Drosophila melanogaster: one gene and its partner. The protein of the gene in region 2 interacts with the protein of the main gene of each other region in a pairwise test. Each region holds a gene or a part of one and is shown on either strand. Other genes may lie near its edges.

What was found. The genes of interacting proteins can lie anywhere in the genome.
Region 1: the proteins of CG12729 (region 2) and CG5681 interact in a two-hybrid assay, tested with the Drosophila melanogaster proteins (one large-scale study listed by BioGRID).

The regions. Positions count from the first base shown.
Region 1 is NT_033779.5:17,983,256-17,991,515, reverse strand, and holds CG5681 (uncharacterized protein), read right to left. Parts: upstream 5,118-8,260; 5' UTR 5,052-5,117; intron 4,999-5,051; 5' UTR 4,989-4,998; coding exon 3,381-4,988; 3' UTR 2,897-3,380; downstream 1-2,896. Other genes in the region: Prosbeta5R2 (proteasome beta5 subunit-related 2), read right to left, coding at 178-1,017.
Region 2 is NC_004354.4:5,841,728-5,848,761, reverse strand, and holds CG12729 (uncharacterized protein), read right to left. Parts: upstream 3,483-7,034; 5' UTR 3,410-3,482; coding exon 2,708-3,409; 3' UTR 2,656-2,707; downstream 1-2,655.

The sequences.
Region 1 (8,260 bases), on a different chromosome or scaffold from region 2:
AACGTGTACGCAAATTAGAAAATAAATAAGTCAACAGCATTTATTTGATGGTCTTAATTTGGTAAAACGCAGATGTTTGTTCTAAAAGTGGTGTTTTCGTTTCCCGTCACTCACTCATTCGGAAAATGGATAACGTAGTACAAACCTTTAACGCTCTAACCAAATGAAGTGCAGAACTTAGGGAGTTTGTTGATTTCCCACACCTGAGTACTGTTCATGCAGTTCCTGGCAGTCTTTATTGGCCACATTCCTCCAGTTTCCTTGATCCATGTGATATAGTCTCACCACACCGCCTGAAAAGATATCTGTCATGGTAGCATGATATACTGCAAGGAAGGCCAGGTCGTAGGCCTCGTTATCACTGAGATCCAACCGGTAGTCAGAGTCCAAAATTCCCAGGGCATTGGGGGCTCCACTGCCCACGGCGAAAAGCTTTCCATGGATCCGCAGGCCGTTGGAGTCCACGTATACCAAACTGGGTCCTTCGGGCGACCAACCGGCCAGCATCATTCCCATGCAGAGACCCATTCCCTTGTATTCCGCAGCCACGTTGGAGATATATTTGGCAGCAGATTGGACTGGAAGTCGCTCCTTATAGCGGAGCTCGTGCAGTCGGCACTCCCTGGTCAAAGCTCGATCCCAGTATGTGCAATCCGCTGCACCACCTGCAGTGGTACCCATTATGTACTGGTTGACCTGTACGACCTTATGTATGCTCTGAGATCCAATTAACTTTCCCGACGTGGCTCTGGAATCCACACACAAAATGATGCCACCTTGGTAAACAAAACCCACCGTGGTGGTTCCGTGGTCAAAATCTATCTGCACTTCACTTAGCGCATTCAGTTTTTTCACACTTTCCCGTGGATTTTCATATGGCGGAGCCATTATGGCGAGGGGATTATCCATGTTACTCGATGCGACTCTGATTTCTTCAATTGTCTGCTTCGAGGTGCGATATCCAAAGCTCTTCATAAATGGCAGCTTATCCATACCACAAATACTTTCCAGGGCCATGTTGTACAAATGGTTATATTTGAAGTTTAAATGTTGTTGGTTATACTTTAAGTATGTTGAAATCTTTTATATCTGACTGATCTTTCCTGGCACCTATGAAGTTTAAAAAAAATATCCAGCAATATATTTGCGCCACCACCTAAGCGGAACTCAATAAAAAGCACGCCAACAATTTTGTATTTACAATATTCTCGTGATAAATTCATGCTGCTAGATTGTATTTTTTTCGGTCGGTTTTGGCAGCATTTACCCATGTGCAGATTAAAAATATGTTAGCCATGGGTTTTATGAGTTTTCGCATTTTATGAGGTTCCCAGGATATGACCAAGAAATGGAAGCCGAAAATTGAATATTAAATAACCTCAAGCAATAAACAGAATTACACGGCGTGTGAATGTTGTGTAGTTGGATGTGTGAATTGTTTATGATATTAATATCCGTTTGTATGTGCAATCATTTAAAAAGGATTACACGATTAGCATTTGACGGCGGTTATATATAAACGCTTGAGGCGATGCGGAAATTGTCGTTTATATTAATTTTCATGGCTTAAACATATGTTAAATGGCTGCCAATGCGGATTATGAGATATTCGGCGTTGAAGAGGAAACGTCACCAAATGTAAGAACATATTAAATCTTAAGGTAGGAATTAAATTTATACTCATTAAATGTAAACATGACGTAATAGGAAAATATCAATATAAATATTTATACTGAAAATATGGTTGATTTTTATACCCTTGCAGAGGGCATATTGATTTCAGTGAGATGTTTCCCTTTCTAGTGTAGTGGATAAGGAAAGTGGATGTATAACATAATAAGCATATAAAAGTATATCAATGGACCAGATATTAATTAATCGAAATAATCGAAAAATAAATGAAAGTAAAGAGGTCTTTGTTGTTTTTAAAAAATGATTTTGTTTGTTATGCCACCAGTTTCCAACAAATCGTATCTTCGTATCTTATGAAACTTAATTTTTTTTAAAACTCCTGAGACCTCGAAAATCCCAGAGTCATCCATTAACCAAATTGTTGGGGTAATCAATTTTAATGTTCGACCTGACCGTAGGACCACAAAACGCTCAACTGTGTGCTCAAATGTGTGCGGCCTGTCAAAGGTTAAAGGCGTTTTGTTGTATTGCCAAATTTGCTCTTGACCAACGGCAATGGCGACAAAAGTGGGTGGACCCCTATGAAGACCACATTGTCAATCAGGAATTCCTTAAACACAGCAATGCTCCGCACCGTTTATCCCCTTCCTCAGCGATTCTCTGGTTTATTTGCCAAAGTCGAAATGGCAAACACTTGGTCTAGTCCTCCGAATTGGGTTTGTATTTGGGTTTGGGACTGCCCACCTGATCCAAGCCGGCTGCTGTGTCGAAATTTATGTATTGCAGTTGACTTATTGGGGTCACAACATCCCACTTCGGACCCCGACCTCACCGAACTGGGCTGATTCGCTTTGATTTGGCCAGAATGCCCCTCAGCTGGCCAACCGTGTGTGTCGAAGCTGCGTTTTGTATTCGGTTTTGGCCAGCTCCGGGGGAAGTACCCTGTTTAATGAGAGCTAATTATGTTTAATTATTCATTTGGGACGGTGACATTTTGGACTTGGAGAGAAGGACCTATTCTTTCTCAGCATGTGGCAGCAGAAGAAATACAAACAAATTCAATCAATTAGGTAAAACACTTGGAAAATATAATTTTTTTAAATTATATTTATTGAAGAATTATTTGTTGTGACGCATATATTGAATATTTGGTAGTTTTCATAATATTCATTTCATCCAAAAGAAAAATATAACGTTTAATAATATTAATCTTCTAAAATAATCTATGTATAACGAATTTTAAGAAATATTAGTGTTATAATTTACAATATTATAAAAGCATCATTATGGGGATTGTACAAAATTATAAATTTATAAAGAATATAAGCATATTGATTTCTACTTCCGTAACGGAATGGTCATTATATTATTTCATATTTTGCCCCGAGGTTTTGTTTTTGGTTATTATAGATTTCATATCATCAGTCGCAGATAAATCAAAAGAATTATCGAAATTTGTAACATCATGGCACACGTGGATTGTAATCATCGCTAAAGGTGTATCCGAAGTACAGGATTTTTTTTTCTGTCCCGGACTCAATTTCTATTTTAATGGTACTACTATTTTCATTTTTAGAAATACTCTTTGGTGGGCTTTCTGTACAGTTTTTCTCATTCACAGTGTTTCCAAATGTATAGTCTGGTAAAGCGTCGGGATTATCTTTTATAATTGTATCCCCTGCACCATGATTAGTTTTCATATTATTTTTAATAAATGGAGTTTTTTTTTTTAATGACTTGCGCTCAGATCAACATGGTCCTAAAATGTTTCTCATCTTTCCTTTGTTTTCGTTGAAGTCAAATGAAATATTCTTAAAAGGAGGACAGGAAACCAAGTCATTTTCACATTTTGACTTGGACATCCGTTCAGAGGATTCATTATGTTTCATCATTTTTTCTGGTGCAGCTTTCATACCTCCACTCGTGTATTGATCTAGACATTCCTTTAAATCAAACTCTAATGATTGGGTCCCATGTAAATCTTTCGGAAATTGGAATCGACGTTTAATGCTATTGGAATTTTGCTCTGAATTGAGTTTATGGCCACCTGATTCATTTTCTGTACTGATTTTAATAGGTTGTGTTCCAGATGTTTCATCTTCAGCTGCTACAGTGTTTTCTTTTCTCTCTAAATCAATACTAGAAATGGTTACCTTTTGTGCAGAATTTATAAAAAAATTTATATGAAGGGAATAATCCTGCCTATGGTTAATTTCATTGCTATCATTTGCATTCGATTCGATTTTATTTGTAATACTTTCGATCGAGTTAACTTGATCTGGAAATTTGTCAGCTAGGTGAATGTCACTTAATTTGCTAAGGTTCGATTGTTTTTCAGCTAATCCATTTTTAGTGCCACCGGTTTCATTTGCTTTATATTCAATCAGTTTGACTTTAATCTTTCTTATATCCATCAAATCGACCATCATCGGTTCTTTTTTGTTTGTATCTAGTGTAGGCAATTCGTTTTCCATACCTTTGATGTTATGTTTAGTGTGGTATTTATTTTTCGAAATATGTTTAGTAGGAGCGATCATTTTCGGAGAATTCCCAGTTCTTTGGTTGCTGGTTGGGTATTTGGCTGTCTCAGCTGTATTGTTTCCTTCTCCAAGTCTTTCCAAGAGCTCATCGATTTCTTTTCTAATACCATCAACTATTGTATCTGTCAAGACTTCAGAATTAAAGCTTATAAGCTTACTTAGCATATCAAGAACTTCATCTGTCAAGTTTTTTATTAAAGCACTGTCCTCTTCTGCTTTCAGCATAAATGCATTTAAGTCCGGTTCGCTATGATTCACAAGTTCCGCAAGGCCTTCACGTGCCTTTACCATATTACCATTCATTTCGGTCTGTCCCTCAGTTCCTATTGCGATTTGAGGTAGTGCTGTTTCCTTTTTGTTCAAATATTTTTGCGTCCAGAGAAGTATTTCTTGTTGAGAATTCACATAATACTGATCAAGGACGATTTTCTTTATTGATCCTTTTAGACCTGCAATATTCATCTGAATCCACTCCAAGGCGTCGGGCAATGTGAAGCTCATCAGGTGGCCGCTGTTTTTTATTTCTATGCACTTTGATTGGGTGGGCGTGTACGCGATAGTCAAAAAAATATCATTTTCGTCATTCCTGACATCAAAAGTTGTCTCGGCACTGTTGTCTTTCACCGTTTCTTTAACTTTTTCAATAGCCCTTTCCCAAAGCTTAATCTCGTTTTGTTCTTTTAAGTGGCTCTTTTCCATAATTTTCGCCCAGTCATCATAGTCCCTTTTCATATTTGCTATCTCGCTGTAGAGCTTCGAGACTTTATCTGCAGTGCTAGCACTTGACTCCTTTTCTGATTTCAAGGTTAGATTCATCTTATTCTGGCTGTAAAATACACTTTAAAATTCATTGGTATTGATATTTCTTACCAAATATACCTTTTTTTTCTCGAATTAAATATGTTCTGATAGGCTATAAATCTTGACTGAGCACTTCAACTTGCTTGTTAAACGTACAACTCAAATGCTTATCTGTTTGTTTTTTTTTTTTTGTATATGTTTGAAATTTGGAAAAAGGCCTACTTAACACTTATCGATAAGTATACAAACTTATCATCACGTATGAATTCCAATAGACAACTTGTGAAAAACTTCTGAACTTTAACATCTCCACCACGGTATCAGAAACTTGATAGTTTGCCCACCTTTAAATACGAGGTATGTTCCACAAGAACGCTCCAAAGTATGCGGCAACAATTCATCGCCAGAACAAGGCTTTTAATCAAGCCAAGGACTTAGCCTCGCTTACAGGCGAGTTTGTATGTAGCACATGAATGTTAACATCTTCCTGCACATATATGCGCTCTTCGGAGACAGAGGAAACATAATCACATGCGTAGCTGCCATTTCCGTTGCATATTTACAGGGGCCGTCTCCTTGGACCGCCCGATAATATATAACTGCGATTCGCAGGCTGTAAATTTTGACTTTCAATGAGAGCATGGAATTTGACATTTACTAATTGCCGGATTATACGGCTGAAGACCCTCGTGAAGATGCAAGGACTCGAAATGCATTCCTCAATCGAAAAACTCTCATTTGTGTAAACTGAATGGCAAACATCTCGCAAATGAAACGGGTTAAGCCGCTCTTCACTTTCCTGCCGAAGATAGTAGAGCCAGGAAACTCGACTTAGTTCTATTTCCGCTCGAGCGGAGGAAATACAGCATCTGTCATCGGCATATCGACGGCATTAATTAATCAACGTTATGCATGTCAATCAAGAAGTGTGCCAGCCATCTCTTTCTAATGCTCGCTGGCATTTTGCTCCTTTTTTCTTCCGACCAGAATATCACTTTCGCAAATTGAAGTTGCCTTTCCTGTTTCTCGATTTCTGTTGTTGCATGTGTGGCTGTTCATGGCAAGTCATGCATATTCATTGTTTACAGACGCACAAGCACCCACAAACATAAACAATCACTTGGCAATTTTACCTGATTTCTTTTCAAAAACATCGAACTCCACTCCACCCCAATTAGTTTCCAATTCTCTTTCCGGTTTATTTTCCATTGGATTTGGAATTGTTTGGGGGCGACGTATTTGGAAATCAGCTCAAATGCTCAAATATCTATTGCTTGCCATTTGTGCAATTAACCGAAAGTTTTTGAAAATGGAAAACTCGGAAATCAGAAAGTTTAAGATGGATTAATTCAATCTTATGGCAAGTATTTTGTGATTGATTTTTGAGTTTTGGCAAGACAGAACATTTTGAGTCATTCAAAACACTCACCATAATTTGAAACACCGTATAATTCTCCACAAGTATCAAAAGCTAACGCCTTTTTATTGGCAATTTGCCTACCACCAACAGATACACGTTCTCCTGCTTTCAATTTATATTTATTTATTACGTTGGACATTCATAAATTCGATGTTGTAGGGCCCATAACAATCATAATCTTCGATATAATTTCCACTTTATGGTTGCCCAGCTGCTAGGCGATAAAAATTTGCACATTGATATGCTTTTATGGTAGCAAACAATAAAATAAGGCAAGTAAACAAATAAACAATGTATGGAACATCAGAGAGCAATTTCAATGCAAAGAGCCTCAAGAAACACAAGCACATGCTAGGCATTCTTCCCATTTCCTTACTCGCTCGAATGCAAAAGCCTACAATGTGTTGACAGTCTATAGACAAAAGGTTGCTCGCAAAGGATGGCTAGAATAACTTGTAATTTGACAAAATCCATAAACCATAAATTCCTGGCCAAACCAGCACTTAAATTGCCACATCCGCCAAAGGAAATTCCTCCATTGTCTTTGTCAGTAGATTTGTGCCAAGTCCCGAAAAGAAAACTGTCTCGTAATCGCAGGCAATAAAAAAACAGAAACACATAAAATATTATCGAATACAGTAGAGCGAGTAGTTGGCAACCCTGGGAGCCGCATAAAAATCCCTCAAGACCATAAATCGCCATCAGCCAGAAACCATCACGACTATTAGGTTAAATCAACCCAAAGACACGAGCCGAAATCAGCATTGGGTAAATTTAGTGCCCACTTTTGGGTATTTATCATGCAATAGTCGTTCCCATTCAATGAAATGTCCAATTAAAGGGCTTGTTCTGTGATTTCTTATATGTAGCTTAAGCTCAAACGATCTGCAGATCATAAATTCGGAATGATCTTAACCACTCCTCATACCTAAAGTTAGTCTTTCATTATATAGAAATAGAAATATAACGTTAAAGAAAAGAAAATTATCTTATTAAATGGAAATGTAATGTTAAAAGACAAACGAATCATACAGTTGCTTAAATACTGAATTCTGTAACAGAATTTCAAGTGTTGACAAATGTAACAGCATGGGATTTCCACAAAAAGGAGTACTATTCTGAACAGAAAAATAGGGTTTTCATGCACTTTTCCCTGAAACTAAGTTTACTTCCAAAGAAAAGAGAGTCGAAAAAGTGAAGGGAATGATGAAAGGAAGAAGCTGGCAAACATTTCGGCGCTTTCAGCTTCAAACACATGCAGACAGCTTAAGCGCTTGATGCTTGGCTTTTCCTGAGAACCACCCGGTATCCGGAGTAGCACCCAAACCACCCAGACTGCATCGGTTATTAAATTTGCGTGGAACATCCCTTCGGCACTGAGCAGGTTATGCCTTCGCCTGGGATGTGCGGTAGCCTAGCTCATAGTTTACGGAGTTAGTTGGCCTAACTAAGTTGTGCACCAATTCGAAAAGTTTAGGCCCAACTTGGATCCCCAGCTCACCGAAAATGCGATTAGAATCTATAGAACTTTGGCCCAAGTAGAAAAGAGGATAAAGAAAATAAATGGCCGACAATTGAATGTTTAATAAATTGATATACAATCGAGATTAGACTATTAAACAATGGTGCAATTTTTAAAAATGCTTTAACAGAAATATTATCAAAAGTAACACCCATAATACAAAGTAATAAAATATTGCTTACTTGCCTCTGCAAGTAGAAATTTATTGGGTCATACTCGAAGTAAGTTTAATCGTTTCGATTCTTTATTGCAAAAAGTTAAGTTTTTTTGAGTAAAATTCGAGATCCTTGTTGTGACATACTCCCACCTCAAACTGATTCTAATACCGAATGTTGAGCTGTCGCA
Region 2 (7,034 bases):
ACAAACGCTGATGCCTGATGGCCGCGATTGCTGCCGTAGCTAATTAAATGCAGCGCCCAAAACTTTGTAATTGCCTGCACGCAGGATGGCGCCATTGGGTCTTTGGAGGGTTAAGCGAGGTCGTTGGATCTGTGCCCTGGTGGGCACATAAAGTGAAAATCCGTGTCATTGGCGCTATCACCTCGGTTAGCTGGACGCGAGATGGCCATATAACTGGCCACTGGCCACTGGCCACTGGATTGTGGTCAACCGTTGGCCGGCTGATTGGCGCTGCTGATGGATGGATTGCATTTAGTTGGCCAACTTATTGATTAAAGGCATGCAGCTCTTTGGCAAAATCAAAATTGATTGCATGCCATTTGAATTCTGCTCTATGCATGCAACTATATGGTGGTTAATTGGTACGTAAATATAATCTTAATATATATATTTAAATTGATCATTCTTTCTGCAGTTTCATGTCGGCGGAAAATTCCCCTTTTTTGGTTTTCCGGTCTGCCGCTAATGTCCACTGTGACATGTGGATTTTAGTGTCGCTCTATGGCCTTTGTGGCCGACGTGGTTTATTATCCTCCCTATGCCGGTTTTCTTTTTTTTTTTTTGCTTTGCCTTTCTTGGCAGCCTCATGGCAAGGCATTTGTTAATATCGCTGGCTTAACTAAGTCCCAATGACTTTTATATGATATTCGGTGCACAGCCACATTCGCCCATATAGCCTTGTGTGTGTGTGTGTGTGTGTGTGTGTGGTTGTACAAGCTTTTCGATTGCCGTTTCGAAACTGAAATGGTCGTAAAAATACCACAGCAAGTTGTCCTTGTTCCTGTTCAGCTGCCATGTCCTTTCACGTCTGTGTGGCCACCGCCTTTGATGTTCCTTTGGCAGCCATTCAGCCGTCTTCATCCCCGCCAAGTAATGAAAAGCGCGTTAAACCGCAATGCGTGCCGTTGTCTATGCCACACGCATACATACAGACGTAGAAGGGGCACACTGAAAGAAAATGTGTTTGAAATGTTTATTGTAGTTACAACGTAATGTTTTAAGTAGGAACAAACTTTTCAGCTAGCAGTGTTGTAGCTTCGTAGCTATCAGCTGAGTTATTCGAAATTTCTCGCTGTGTACACACAACACACACATTGAAAACCCAGCCCAACCGACACATGTGCTTTGCTGTGGGTTAGCTGCCCCGCCCCCTTACATCAACGAAGTAAATTGCTAGCCGGCATTTAATTTGATCTTTTGTTTGATTGTGTGCGTTTCGGTTTAATTGAATTTTATGATGATGCTGCAACACTCACACAGACGCACAATGGCATGAACCCAGGGCGTAATGGTTGAAATAAATTACAGCACTTAACTGTTAATGCAACTGTATTGAAAACAAGGCGAACAACACACAAATTTTGGTTAAATTGTTATAAACCAAAACAAATGATTTATTTAAATTATGGTCTCTGCCACAAATGCCGCAACATTTAAAGAGTCGGGTCCACCCTAATCAACGAGCTTATACCGAATGGCATTCCATTACAGTATCTATCGTTTGGGTCTTCGACAAAAAAAAACCATCCAACTGGAGGTGAAACACTTTGCTAGCCACTGAGTCTGAATTTGATATTCATATTCCATTACGCAGTGGTTTTAATTTCACTGCATAAAACGGAGGTGGTTTTGGCATTGTTTTTCTTTTTGCGGTACCTCTGGTTTCAGCCAGCCAGCCAGCCAGCCAAACCGAACCGAACCAAAGCGGCCATCAACGTCAAGTTTGCCGCAACCACAGCTGCATCAACAACAAAACTGTCAACATCCAATAATACATCCGCAGATATGCAACAAAAATTGAAACACAACAAATGTAAAAAATAAGAGGAGACTGCGGCACGAATGCTGACTCAATGACATCGCCGGACATTATGAAATTTTCAACGCGACTGCATTATTAATACAATAAATAATAAATGCGGACAAAGCGCGGAGGAGCAACCATAATAATGACAACAATTCGTGGCAGGACGAAAATGGTAGCACAACCGAAAACGAGCAACCGCAATCATGAAATGCATAGGGATATCGACTGACCAATTCTCTGATCCCAAAAGGAATGTAATAGGTGCACAAAAATAATAGTGATTATAGCTGAAAATAAATATTTCACTATATTCGTTTAATTGCATTTCCAAATGCAACATTGCGTATGAGTAATGTGCATCTGGGAAAATTTAACAGCGGGCTTAAAGTATATTACAATGCTCTCTTTTAAGCTTTTGCTCTATATTTTAACTTTTTTTTTGTTCATTTAAAATAATTATTTAATTATCCGTCATAAAGTAATCAGTTTTTTGGCCACAACTTTAAAAATAATTGTCTGAATACGGAATGTCATATCACGTTGAGTTCGTATTTAAATTCCCAATCGAACTGTGTTCAAAAATGGGAATTCCATTTTTCAGCCATTTTTTGCAAATTTTGATGATGTTACCCCTTACCGAAAATGCGAAAAATTGCAAAAAAAAAAAATCACTAGAAGCATCTAATAAGCTTAGCTTTGCTTACTCAATTCACAAAACATCTTTCTTTCTTTCTTTACTACCAAAAAGTAGAAGTAACTAGTGTTTTACATATAGAAACTCGTAAGATAAGCCAAATGCGATATCGATTCTAGGCTAATAATTTTATATTTGTTTGTATTGCATGGTGTGCTCTGCATCTTTTAAGACTCCAGCGAATGGGTGCTTTCGACGATGTTGAAGGCCACTCTAGAAGTGCCAGAATTTCGTACAGGTAGCTCCCTTTTCCAAATTTTCCTATTAAAGGCCGGTCCAATCTCGGCCAATCTTTTGGTGCCCCGCACCGCCGGATCCACCAGTTCGGCACGCAGTCTCTTTATGAACTTGTCCAGCCGCGGAATGCACTTGTCCATCGATGACTTACAGGTGGAATTCACGAGATGCTCCGGCTGCAGACAGACGATGGCCATTCGTTTGCTGGTCGAGTTCTGCAGACTGATCACAAGATCCCTGCGACTCAGTTTGGCCATAAGGATATACTGACCGGCCAGACCATCCGTGTAGTTCAGAGTGTATCGATCGGCATCTCGATTCCAGTGATCGGGCAGCTGCTCACACACAGTTCCACATCCTCCAGCCAACTGCCTTCCGTCGGATGCTGAATAATTGATGGCGCAACGCAGGCGGTACTCCTTGGTGATCAGAAAGTGGGTGACAGCTATCAAGAGATCGGATTTTTTGCGAATATGCGACTGGATCGAGTGGAGAAGCAACTGCCAGTCGTGGGCATCGATTTCCGTTTCGCTTTTCAACATGGCTTGGCCCTTTCCAGCTACTCCAATTCCCAGAGATTGGAGCGACATCTCGCTGAGAGTCGACAGTGAAGTGCAGACTGGCGATTCCATGGTGGTTAAATTGTGAACATCTTTGCAAAGGTTGAAGGTTCGAGTTTTTAGAAACAACAATTTTGAAAAATTCTGACAAAGCCTTGGGCGAATTTAAAAGGAAACTAGATTCTTAATTTCGTACGCCAGCCTAAAGACTTAAAAGTAATAAAGAGTGTGTATTGTTTTATACTTTTTTTTTTACATTAATATAAATGCGCATTTCACATTATTTTCGTGCGATTCCTGGTGTCTGTGGTTAATGTTGTTAAAATGTTTTATTCGCACAGCCTGGCAAATTGCAATTGGCAGTTGATTTTTGCAGGACAGGAGTCCTGTGTTCATGTCCATGTCCTTGCCAGTTAAGTTCTCTCTCCATTCATTTTTCAGTTCATATTTTCTTTTTTTTTACGCTGTTTGCAGTTTCTTTTTGCCTTGTCACTTTTTTGTTTGTTTTTATTCAAATTTGCATGCTTAACATAATTCATTTCATTTCTGCTTTTCCGCTTTTCCACTTTCCGCCGCCCCTTTTTGTTTGGGATGTCATCGCCGGGTCGTCTGAATTGATGCCGGATTCAATTGGATGCCAGCAGCTTGCCAAGGTCCTTTGTTATGGGACCTCCCTTCCCACTCCATATAAATATCTATATATATATATATATGTGTATATATACGTCTCTATCGAAATATCTGTGTATATATGCCAGTGTTCTTTGGCGGCAATTTGGGGGATTGCTCTCGGTTTGCTTGCGGCTGGCTCAAACGGCTTAAACGATTGCGGCCAAGTCAAGTCGGTAGCTGATATCGGGCGAAAGCGAGTAATAAATGCGCATCGCATCCACAACCGGAAATAGACGGCGCGTTGCTGCCGGGTCGACCGGAAATGGCTGGGGATCCTGATGGGGTTTCAAATTTAATGCGGTTCAACCTGCAAATGCGTTAAGCAAGTTATTTATTACTGGCAAACGTAACGTCTCAGTTCAGCTAGATTGTTTTTCGGAATTTATTTTAGCATTAAGGGATATTTGAAAAGTACTTAATGCAGTTGTGTGTCAACTTTAAAAGCCACACAAATTATATTTTATCAGCTGGTTTTAAAAATAACTGTGTTTTCACAATTCAATTTAATTCACTTTTTCATTTCGAGTAGTGTGGGCTTCTATAACAGATAGCTTTATACACTTTGTAAATTAATATAGACATGTTTTTCTTTCAAAATAAATAGGACAGAAAATTGAAAGCCCCACGGGGCCTTCAGTTTTAATTCAGTTTGACCTGCGTATGCGCACAGTAAGACATTTATTCCGGGAAAATAAACAAGTTAAATGCCTCGAATCTGCAAAGAAAAACATTAAATATTTTATTTCACAAATTAAGAGAGACGTGTTTAATATGCGCACCACAGGCATACAAACTAAAAAGTTGCCAGCGAAAAATTCCAAAAGAATGAACTCAGCTTTGTGCGTAATTTAATTTATGGTCAGCATTTTCAATCATTCGATTATTTGATTAAAATGTTGACGGCTTACATAAAATGCAATATAAATTGATATGCACACAGCAGGCACAAATGTAGCAGTTAAAAAAAATAATATAGTTCAGTTGTTTAAAATAAATACTTTAAAATGTTCCTTTTGATTTGTTACAAATAGAAATTAAGAAGCATTTCAGATGTTGTGTCAAAATTGATTGAGTAGCTCAGTTGCTGAAAGTTGTGAGTTTTATTTTATAGTTTATAAGCTATTGTGAGATTTTACCTGTTATGTATGAAATCTTTCACAATTCAGTTGCATATATTGTGCGATTCCATTAAAATTCTGCAAAACCAAAATGCAGAAAAATGATTCTGTGAGCATAATTGAATTTGCTATATTTTTAATGAACCGTTTGTGCTATTAAAACTGCGGCGACGGGCACGAAACTTATTTGGGAAATCAATAATGGCAACCAAAAATAGCAACAACATGTAGAAGGGATGTGGGGAGGGGGGAGTGGGGAGTGGGGGCAAACATAACAACATCACAAACTCAGCGATGGTAAGGGGAATTTTTGTGGCAGACAGGAAGAGGAAGGAGGTGGGCAGGGTCATGCCACATCCATGATGCCAATGGTCGCCGCAGAGATTCTGCAGTTGCCTGGCTGACGCGGAAATGGCGTCGTTAAATTGGTTCCGCATCCGGTTGCCATTGCCCTCGCCCAAATAACCCACAGGGACAGAGGTGGCGGCAAAGGACAGGCACGACGACGAGGAGGCTGAAAAGCAGAACGAGGATAGTTGAAGCTTACTGCTATTTGACTGCAGCTCGATGACGCGATGCAACCCCCGAGGCAGCCGTCAAGGAATCCACTTTGCACTTACATTTCCTCCACGACCGCCTCGCCATGCGAATGGAAATGCTGGCGGAGATGCGAGTTGCGTATGGAAATGGGTTTGGGATTTGTATTGGGACTCTGGTATTGCCAGCAGGACTGCCAACCGAAGGATTAGGATAATTGTGTGCCCAAAGTGTTGCCTTTAGCTGTCGATTGAGAAGTGATTAACCAAAAACGGTCAGCGATTCGTGGCTTATCGAGGCAAAACAGCAGCGTCCACAAAAGTATATACCACTATCTGCAGCTAATTTAAGTAGAGTAAAATATATACTAATTGGATGAACTTTAAGTGGCGCAAGGGCACATTATTTATTGATATTCTTTTGTGACAATATGTTGAATGTTGAAGACACATATCACAAGTCTTGCGCGCCAGAATCTTCAGTGTAGATTGATTGGGTTCGATGGCCGGATCAAGTTCGCCTGCAGCTCGTGTGGCATCTGCATAATTAATGCCCCGTGCAGCGGCGTCTGTGCACAAACACCTGAACAGCCAGCTCCTCACCTGCGGAAATTCAATTAACTTTGACTCGTTTGCCTGCGAGGGGGACGCACAGCCATGGAGGCGTCAATGAGTAACCGCAATTGATATAAATTTGAAATTTTGCAGCCTCCACACACAGATCCTTTTATGGTCGGGCTGCGCCCTTTTTGGCTCAAATGAAAAATTTAATCTCCAGCCTAATGGCTGTCGTGTGTGTGCTTAAGTGTGTGTGTGTATGTGTGTGTGTGTGTGTGCAGGAAGGTCCTGTCTGCGCCGGCTGCACTTAATTCGCTCCTCGAGTTGGCCATAAAAAGGCGTCCATCGACCGAAATGAAATAAAAGTGCGCTTGCAATGTGTGTGTAATAAATTTTCAAAGTATTCAGACGGTTAACCCGTTGCGCGCTGCACCAGAAAAAACTATGTGCCACGTTTCTGAAGCCAAACAAAAAGCATCAAAAACTGTACGGCATGGCTATAATATTTAACTTAATTAAATTTGAATTATTTAATTAAAAGCCCGCTTTTATAAAACACAAATAATCCTTTGCTTTGTCACATAATTTGCTCATAGCAAATTGCATCACATATTTGAGCTGAAATTTTGTAGCTGGTATTTTCGCAAAGCGCCGTGTATTCTCGTATTTTAGAAAGTTTTGTGGCGTGTGGGCGGCGGCATATCCTGCCACGCCCGCTGGTGCACAGCTATTTTCAGTTCAGTTGCCACAGTTTTCCAGACTGCCCTTTGCATGCCGCACGCAAAAATTGGTAGCGCAAAGAAGCCAAAACGA